Linked DNA regions of Stegostoma tigrinum. The protein of the gene in region 2 purifies or fractionates together with the protein of the main gene of each other region. This does not show direct contact. Links are inferred from orthologs where the notes say so. Each region holds a gene or a part of one and is shown on either strand. Other genes may lie near its edges.

Region 1 (3,750 bases), on a different chromosome or scaffold from region 2:
GGAGCCCTATCCAATTCAGTGTCACTTTTAGGGGATTCAGTTCCCAGACTTGTCCAAAACCAATGGCCCTTTGCCTGGGAAAAATCATCTATATTACCATCACCACCACAACCCCAGCCCGTTTGTACTTAGCAATTGAAAAATTGCCTGTAGTGTGCCTGTAGAAATTTCCATTTGCGTTGGTGGCAGTCAAGGCTTTTGATAGAAGCTAAGACTTTGTGGAATAAAGCTCCATTGTTTCTACATTTGCAATGAGCTTGTCTGAAGCAATGTTGGTGGTCAAGATGGAGAGGTCAGAACTGAGAAATGTCAGGAGTACTTAATGCCACGGGAAAGGCATGGTTCCATTGCTATAAGAATGTGGGTATTTATGGAGTCACGGAGTTATACAGCCTGAAAACAGATCCTTCAGTCCAACCAGTCCATGCCAAATATAATCCCCACCTGCCTGCTCCTGGCCCATATCCCTCCAAACATTTCCTATTCATATATCCATCCAAATGTCGTTTAAACATTGTAATTGTACCCACATCCACTACTTCATCAGGAAGTTCATTCCTCACGCAAACCACCCGCTGTGTGAAAAATTTGCTTCTTATGTCTTTTTTATATCTCTCTCCTCTCACCTTTAAAATGTGCCCCCTTACTTTGAAATTCTCAATCTTAGGGAAAAGACAAGTACCATCAACTCAATCGTCACCTCTCATTGTTTTATGAACTTCTGTCAGGTCACCTCTCAACTTCATATGCTCCAATGAAAAGTGTCGAAGCCTGTCCAACCTTTCCTTGTAATTCAAACCTTCCATCACTGGCAACATCCTGGCAAATCTCTCCTGAACACTTCAGCTTGATAATATCCTTCCCATAACTGAGTGTCCAGAACTGGACGCTGTATTCCAGAAGAGGCCTCACCAATATCCTGTATAACCTCCACATAATGTTACTGGCAATTTTGAACAGGTTTTGCAGATGGTAAGTGAAAATCATAACAGTATTTTTAAAAAGTTTTGAATTAGCTGTACCACTGCCAGGAATACCAGGAAAAGCCATATTTCTGAGGGAGGGAATCAGGAAGTACACCTGTTCAGAAACCTATCAGGTGTTGTAAACACCTGCAGAACAGGAAGCACCTCACCTGTTGCTATGGTTTCACTCTGTAACAGGCAACACCTGTACCTATGTTCTGCTAGCTTCAGTGAAAGGAGGAGGGGAAATAATCTTGCATCGGCTCTGCTTACAGGCTTGCGTTCGATGATAATTTTGTAATCCAGTTGTTAAATATTAACCAGCTGGTTCAACATTTTGTCTTCCACTTCACTTATCGGCAAAGGCAGGAGAAGTTCACAAACAACAATGGTAAGCTTTGGGCTTTTAAGTCCAAATTTCTAATTTATGTTCATATCTATATTTTTTAATACAAGTATACTGATGACTTATAAATAAGGTATATAAATATACTGCGTATAGAAGCTTTTACGAAAAGTGCAAAGCAAGAGGTGGAGAACCTAGGAAGCATAATTGTACTGTAATCCGAAAAGACTGGAGATTTTGGGCCTACTTTAGTTTTCCTCCAGGTTCAGCAAAACATATTTTTCCACAGGTATTTACACGTATGAAGAGAATTGTCGTAAAATTTGTAAAAGGACCTTGCTCAAAATATTCGATGATTTGTTATAAAAATCCATTCAGCAAAGGCCTAGCTGAGAAAATGTGGTGTTTTGCATATGGGCTACTACTTTGGGTACCCCTCCCTCACCAAAGCATTAATGGCTCTTTATTGTTTTGCTGTTATACCAACTGAATCACAATTTGCATTACTCCCAGTATAATGCAATAAATATCAAACACAACAAATTACTGTTGCATTGGCTTTTGGATTCAAAATTGTAATCTTTGTCCAGATTTGCCCCTCTTTGCTTTCCCCTTTTCCTGAAGTTGCTGCTTTACACTGGGTGTGACCCCACTATCAAAAATAGCCCTTCATGGTTGTCCAAATGACCCCATTCCAGGTGTCAGGTTGTTTCATCACTACAGGATCACATTTAATCCTGAATCTGTTTTCACCCAAATTTCCCACATATTTTCCCGCAGGAATTATTAGTGATCAGGATCAGGCTCTGTGGATAATATGTTTTTCGTTACCACCCTGGGGACATTGGTACCACTCAGATTGCCTCCCTACTCCAAAACAATGCCAGCTGAGACAGGTTGGATCAGCCCAGGAAGCTGAGGAATTTAGGACCATTCCATGTGTATGATCCAGCACCTCAGAACAAGGTGAAGTTATCGTATAGGGAGAGGGAAGTAAGAGGGGTGAATGTTTGTTTCTTTATGATGAGCCCAACTTCCTGTAGGCCATGTGGGTCTCTCAGAAATATCTGTTGAAAGTCATAGCTGTTAAATTTGATAAGGGTGAAATTCTCAATTATAAACATAAATTATAGCAGAAACATAAACACAAATATACATAGGCCCCAGGGACATTAAAGTGACATTAATATGTTCTCTGTTCTGACCTTTCTTTCACTATCTTTCACTTTTTTCTCATGTACTTTATTCTATGTTTCTCATTGTCTCTTTGTAGGTACAGAATTTATAACAAAAATAAAACTCTTCATGTAAGGAGTGCTGCTCTGAATATTTCTAATAGAGGACTTTGAGTACAACTATAACTAGTAGAACATCCTGGTCTCCACAGAGTCTTAAAACTAAGGTACCAATAGTGCAGACGCTGGATATTTGGTCTGGACTGAGCAGCATGGTGTTCAACACAAAGTCTTTATTGAAGTGAAACTTAAGATGTCTGCCTCTAGGCTGATTGCCTCATCTTAGAAGTCACATGACAATAGCACACTAGGACAGACATTTATATATGGTTGCATTTCAATCCAATTACCCTCTTATTGTTCTACAAAAAAGGTATGTATTGTCACGCAGGTAGTTTTAGATAACCAAATCACCAACTATATACAGTAATATTCTCATGCCTTAGCACTTCATTATTTTCACCAGTCTCTGTGTATGCATTGGATACATAGTCCTGAAATCATGCTAGTCTCTCCATGGTATGTGCACATGCTGTCATAATTGGCAGTTCATTCTCCGTGATGTCCCTTCGGCAGGAAGTGTTATTTGGATTGCTGCAGTAGTTGTTGTGCTGTTTCTGTTTTTGTGTTGCTGTGGACCTCAGTATCTGATGGTTGATGTGTAGGTGGTGCTTCATCTCTTCCCAATCAGCTGCCTGCAGTATTGGAACAGCTTCTCAGCCAAGTGTACGTGCCTGTGGTTGCAACAGTATATCTGGCAGCTCACTTCCACCACCTGTGAAGTGGGTTATATCTGCTCCATGCTGGTTTCAAGTTGCCACTTGGGCTGGCTTTTGTTGAATATTTGTACCCTGACTGGATCTTGCAATGTTTTAACAGTCTTGGCAAAATAAAATTTGGTTTTCTGCCAGTTGATCGTGCTTTTTCACTCACACCTGTTACTATTTCTGGCTTCCATTTTTTTTTTTTGCTTTTGGAACAGTAATTTGGGTGTGGATTGACTTTAGTCTTTGCACTGGACTACTTTCCAAGCCCTCAGTATGTGTGCTTCTCCACTCGAGGATTGCTGTGTGCACATCTGGGCAGGATTTACTTGATTTCTTTATGATTCCTTTAGAATTTTCATTGCCACCTCAAGCCTTTCCTTTTGACTCTGGATAACGTGGGGATGATGTGTCAGATTGAATTTCCCGAATTTTTTATG
Region 2 (3,750 bases):
GAAATCTTTTGACAGGGGATAATTTTAAATTTTGCAAATTATAAAAAAATTTTGAAGTATTGTAAACTGTGTGGATGGCAGTATAAAACTTCAAAGGATTTTGACAAGTTGGTGTAGTGGTTGTATCAATGGCAGTTGAAGTTCAATTTGCAGAATTGTGAGGTGAACATGCAGATATAAAGGGGACAGACAGAGTAAAAAACAGATACTATTCTAAAGGGAGTGCAGGAGCAGAGAGACCTGGGTATATAGGTGCATAATTCATTAAAAGCAAGAAAGCAGGTGAGGAGTGAGGTTAATACAGCATATAGTATCCCTGGCTTTATTAATAGGTGCACAAACCACAAGAGCAAGGATGTTATGCTGAACTCATTTAAGACATTAGTTGGAACTCAGCTAGGGAATAATGCACAGTCTGGGTGCCATACATCAGGATGCACGCGAATATATCAGAAAGAGTACAGAAAAGGTTTACAAGAATGGTTATGAGGATGAGAATGCTCAGCAATGGTGATAGATTTGAAAAGTTTGGACTATTTTCCTTGGAGGGAAGACACTCAGCAGAGATCTGAAAGAAGTTTTCAAGATCAGGAAAGCTCTCAACAGAGTAGTTAGGGAGAAGCTGTTTCACCTTGTAAAAGAGGATGAAAAGGGCAGACATTTTAACTGTTTTGGCAAAGGGGCAAACATGAGGTGAAAGGAAACATTTTCACAGAGCAAGTGGTTCACGTCTAGAATGTACTACCTGGAAGTGTGATGGAAGCACGTTCAATGGAGGCATTCATGAGGGTATTAAGTGATTATTTAAGTGGGAACAATGTGCAGACTTATGAGGAAAGGGTAGGAGATTGGCATTAAGTCAAACAGCCCAGAGGGCCTGTGCAAACCCAATCACTTGAATGGCTTCCTTCTGCACTAAAGCAGCTCAGTATTCTGTGATATATCGCACTCCAGGAACTTAGTAGATACACCAAGGCTGGATCTTCTTGAAGGTCTGATAAAATCTTGCACTTCTAGCACTCTTGTTGGTTGAGATGCCTGAGAGTCCATCTGCCTCTGGTACATGTAAAAGACCTCACAGCACTATTTTGACAAAGTCCGCGGAGGTTATCTCTTTTTCCTTGGCCAATATTTATTTCGCAATGAACATCACGACATCAGACTGGGTGGTCATTAGAAAGTTGGTGTTTGTAGAGTTTGTACAAAGGTGGCTGCTGCACTTCCGGTATTGCGAGTGTTGACTGCGTTTCAGAAGCCCTTCATCAGCTGTCAAGTTTGGAAGTCATGAAAAGCCCTACGCCAACGCAAGTCACTTTTTTAACTTAAATTTTACCCCAGAAACATACTGCTTCCCCTTTGCCTTCAAGGACAGGGCAGATCTGATACAATATATCGACAGGGAAGGCCCTTCTTCGGCCGCCAGCGACAATCTACGCACGCGCCAGGCAGCCAGGTGCGGTGCGGGGTGGGTAAGGTCAGCGGATCAAGGGGGCGGGGCCGGCGTAGGGTCAGAGGCCGAGGTGGTACCGTCAGGGTAGGTGGGGTTGAGTGACCGTCCCGAACAGGTAGGATCCGCTGTACACTGATCTCCCGGTCTTTGTTGGTGCTGGTAGGCAGGCTAGGCTCTGAGCCTTGAGGGGGAGGGATCCGCCTGGAAATGCGGCCGGGCCTCGGAAGCAGCCAACCCCGGTGGGTAAGAGCCCAACCCAGCGCTGTCCAGTCCAGTGTTTCTGCCGGTTCCCCCCTTTCCCTTGATCCGGGGAGATCAGCCCCTTCTCTCCCCAGTCCCACCACCCCCACCTCCCCGCTCCCTTTCCTCGCCCTGTAACTAGTATAGAGCTGTTTGTGAGGAAGGGAGCATTGAGCCAGGGAACTCTCTTGAAGGACGTTCTTATGAGTGCGTCTGTGTGGAGGAATTGATCCCAACCGACAAGAATGACCAGACAGTCCCAGGTTTGCCTCCCCCTCCCCTCTCCCAGCGGTGATTTCTCTGACCCTAACCGGGGTGGCAGTAAAAAGGTTTCCCAGTTATTCAGATTTCTCACCGTGTTCAGCAACTCTGACGGGGCGCCTGGGTTTCTGTGTGACCACAAGGCTGAGATTTCCGTTTCTGTTTATTTCAACACATAATGTAGAACAGCTCGGGCTCTCTTAACCCTCCCTTGTTGACAGTTACCGTCGAACTTGCCGGTGATGGTGGGTTATTTAGCAAAGAATCGTAAGTGACTGGTGTACATGGGAGAAATTTGCAATCTTATGTTAGCTGTGGGGCGCATTTGGTATTTTTCAGATGTCTGAGTCAGAAAGATTTGGGCTTAAATGCCATTCCAGAATTTTAACACAAAACACAAGGCTAAAACTCGATAGCAACACCGAGGAGACGCTGTACTGTCGGAGGTGTAAACTGAGGCCATGTCTATCATAAGATAATAAAATGTGAGGCTGGATGAACACAGCAGGCCAAGCAGCATCTCAGGAGCACAAAAGCTGACGTTTCGGGCCTAGACCCTTCATCAGAGAGGGGGATGGGGAGAGGGAACTGGAATAAATAGGGAGAGAGGGGGAGGCGGACCGAAGATGGAGAGTAAAGAAGATAGGTGGAGAGAGTATAGGTGGGGAGGTAGGGAGGGGATAGGTCAGTCCAGGGAAGAGGGACAGGTCAGTCCAGGGAAGAGGGACAGGTCAAGGAGGTGGGATGAGGTTAGTAGGTAGATGGGGGTGCGGCTTGGGGTGGGAGGAAGGGATGGGTGAGAGGAAGAACCGGTTAGGGAGGCAGAGACAGGTTGGACTGGTTTTGGGATGCAGTGGGTGGGGGGGAAGAGCTGGGCTGGTTGTGTGGTGCAGTGGGGGGAGGGGACGAACTGGGCTGGTTTAGGGATGCAGTAGGGGAAGGGGAGATTTTGAAACTGGTGAAGTCCACATTGATACCATTAGGCTGCAGGGTTCCCAGGCGGAATATGAGTTGCTGTTCCTGCAACCTTCGGGTGGCATCATTGTGGCAGTGCAGGAGGCCCATGACGGACATGTCATCTAGAGAATGGGAGGGGAAGTGGAAATGGTTTGCGACTGGGAGGTGCAGTTTTTGTTGCGAACTGAGCGGAGGTGTTCTGCAAAGCGGTCCCCAAGCCTCTGCTTGGTTTCCCAAATGTAGAGGAAGCCACACCGGGTACAGTGGATGCAGTATACCAATTGGCAGATGTGCAGGTGAACCTCTGCTTAATGTGGAATGTCATCTTGGGGCCTGGGATAGGTGTGGGGGCAAGTGTAGCATTTCCTGCGGTTGCAGGGGAAGGTGCCGGGTGTGGTGGGGTTGGAGGGCAGTGTGGAGCGAACAAGGGAGTCACGGAGAGAGTGGTCTCTCCGGAAAGCAGACAGGGGTGGGGATGGAAAAATGTCTTGGGTGGTGGGGTCGGATTGTAAATGGCGGAAGTTTCGGAGGATGATGCGTGTTCTCCCTTGTGACATTCCACATTAAGCAGAGGTTCACCTGCACATCTGCCAATGTGGTATACTGCATCCACTGTACCCGGTGTGGCCTCCTCTACATTGGGGAAACCAAGCAGAGGCTTGGAGACCGCTTTGCAGAACACCTCCTCTCAGTTCGCAACAAACAACTGCACCTCCCAGTCGCAAACCATTTCCACTCCCCCTCCCATTCTCTCGATGACATATCCATCATGGGCCTCCTGCACTGCCACAATGATGCCACCCGAAGGTTGCAGGAACAGCAACTCATATTCCGCCTGGGAA

What was found.
Region 1: the proteins of syntaxin-7-like (region 2) and si:ch73-234b20.5 purify together in Homo sapiens (affinity purification with mass spectrometry; 7 studies listed by BioGRID and IntAct, counting the BioPlex papers as one, with this or other methods). This does not show direct contact. The link is inferred for Stegostoma tigrinum from reciprocal best matches to the Homo sapiens genes STX7 and VAMP8.

The regions. Positions count from the first base shown.
Region 1 is NC_081354.1:77,937,225-77,940,974, reverse strand, and holds the start of si:ch73-234b20.5 (vesicle-associated membrane protein 8), read left to right. Parts: upstream 1-1,198; 5' UTR 1,199-1,353; coding exon 1,354-1,356; intron 1,357-3,750. UniProt on the Homo sapiens protein: SNAREs, soluble N-ethylmaleimide-sensitive factor-attachment protein receptors, are essential proteins for fusion of cellular membranes.
Region 2 is NC_081357.1:71,869,578-71,873,327, reverse strand, and holds the start of syntaxin-7-like, read left to right. Parts: upstream 1-1,201; 5' UTR 1,202-1,304; intron 1,305-1,481; exon of another isoform or gene 1,482-1,565; intron 1,566-1,587; exon of another isoform or gene 1,588-1,689; intron 1,690-1,830; exon of another isoform or gene 1,831-1,953; intron 1,954-2,196; exon of another isoform or gene 2,197-2,218; intron 2,219-3,750. UniProt on the Homo sapiens protein: May be involved in protein trafficking from the plasma membrane to the early endosome (EE) as well as in homotypic fusion of endocytic organelles. Mediates the endocytic trafficking from early endosomes to late endosomes and lysosomes.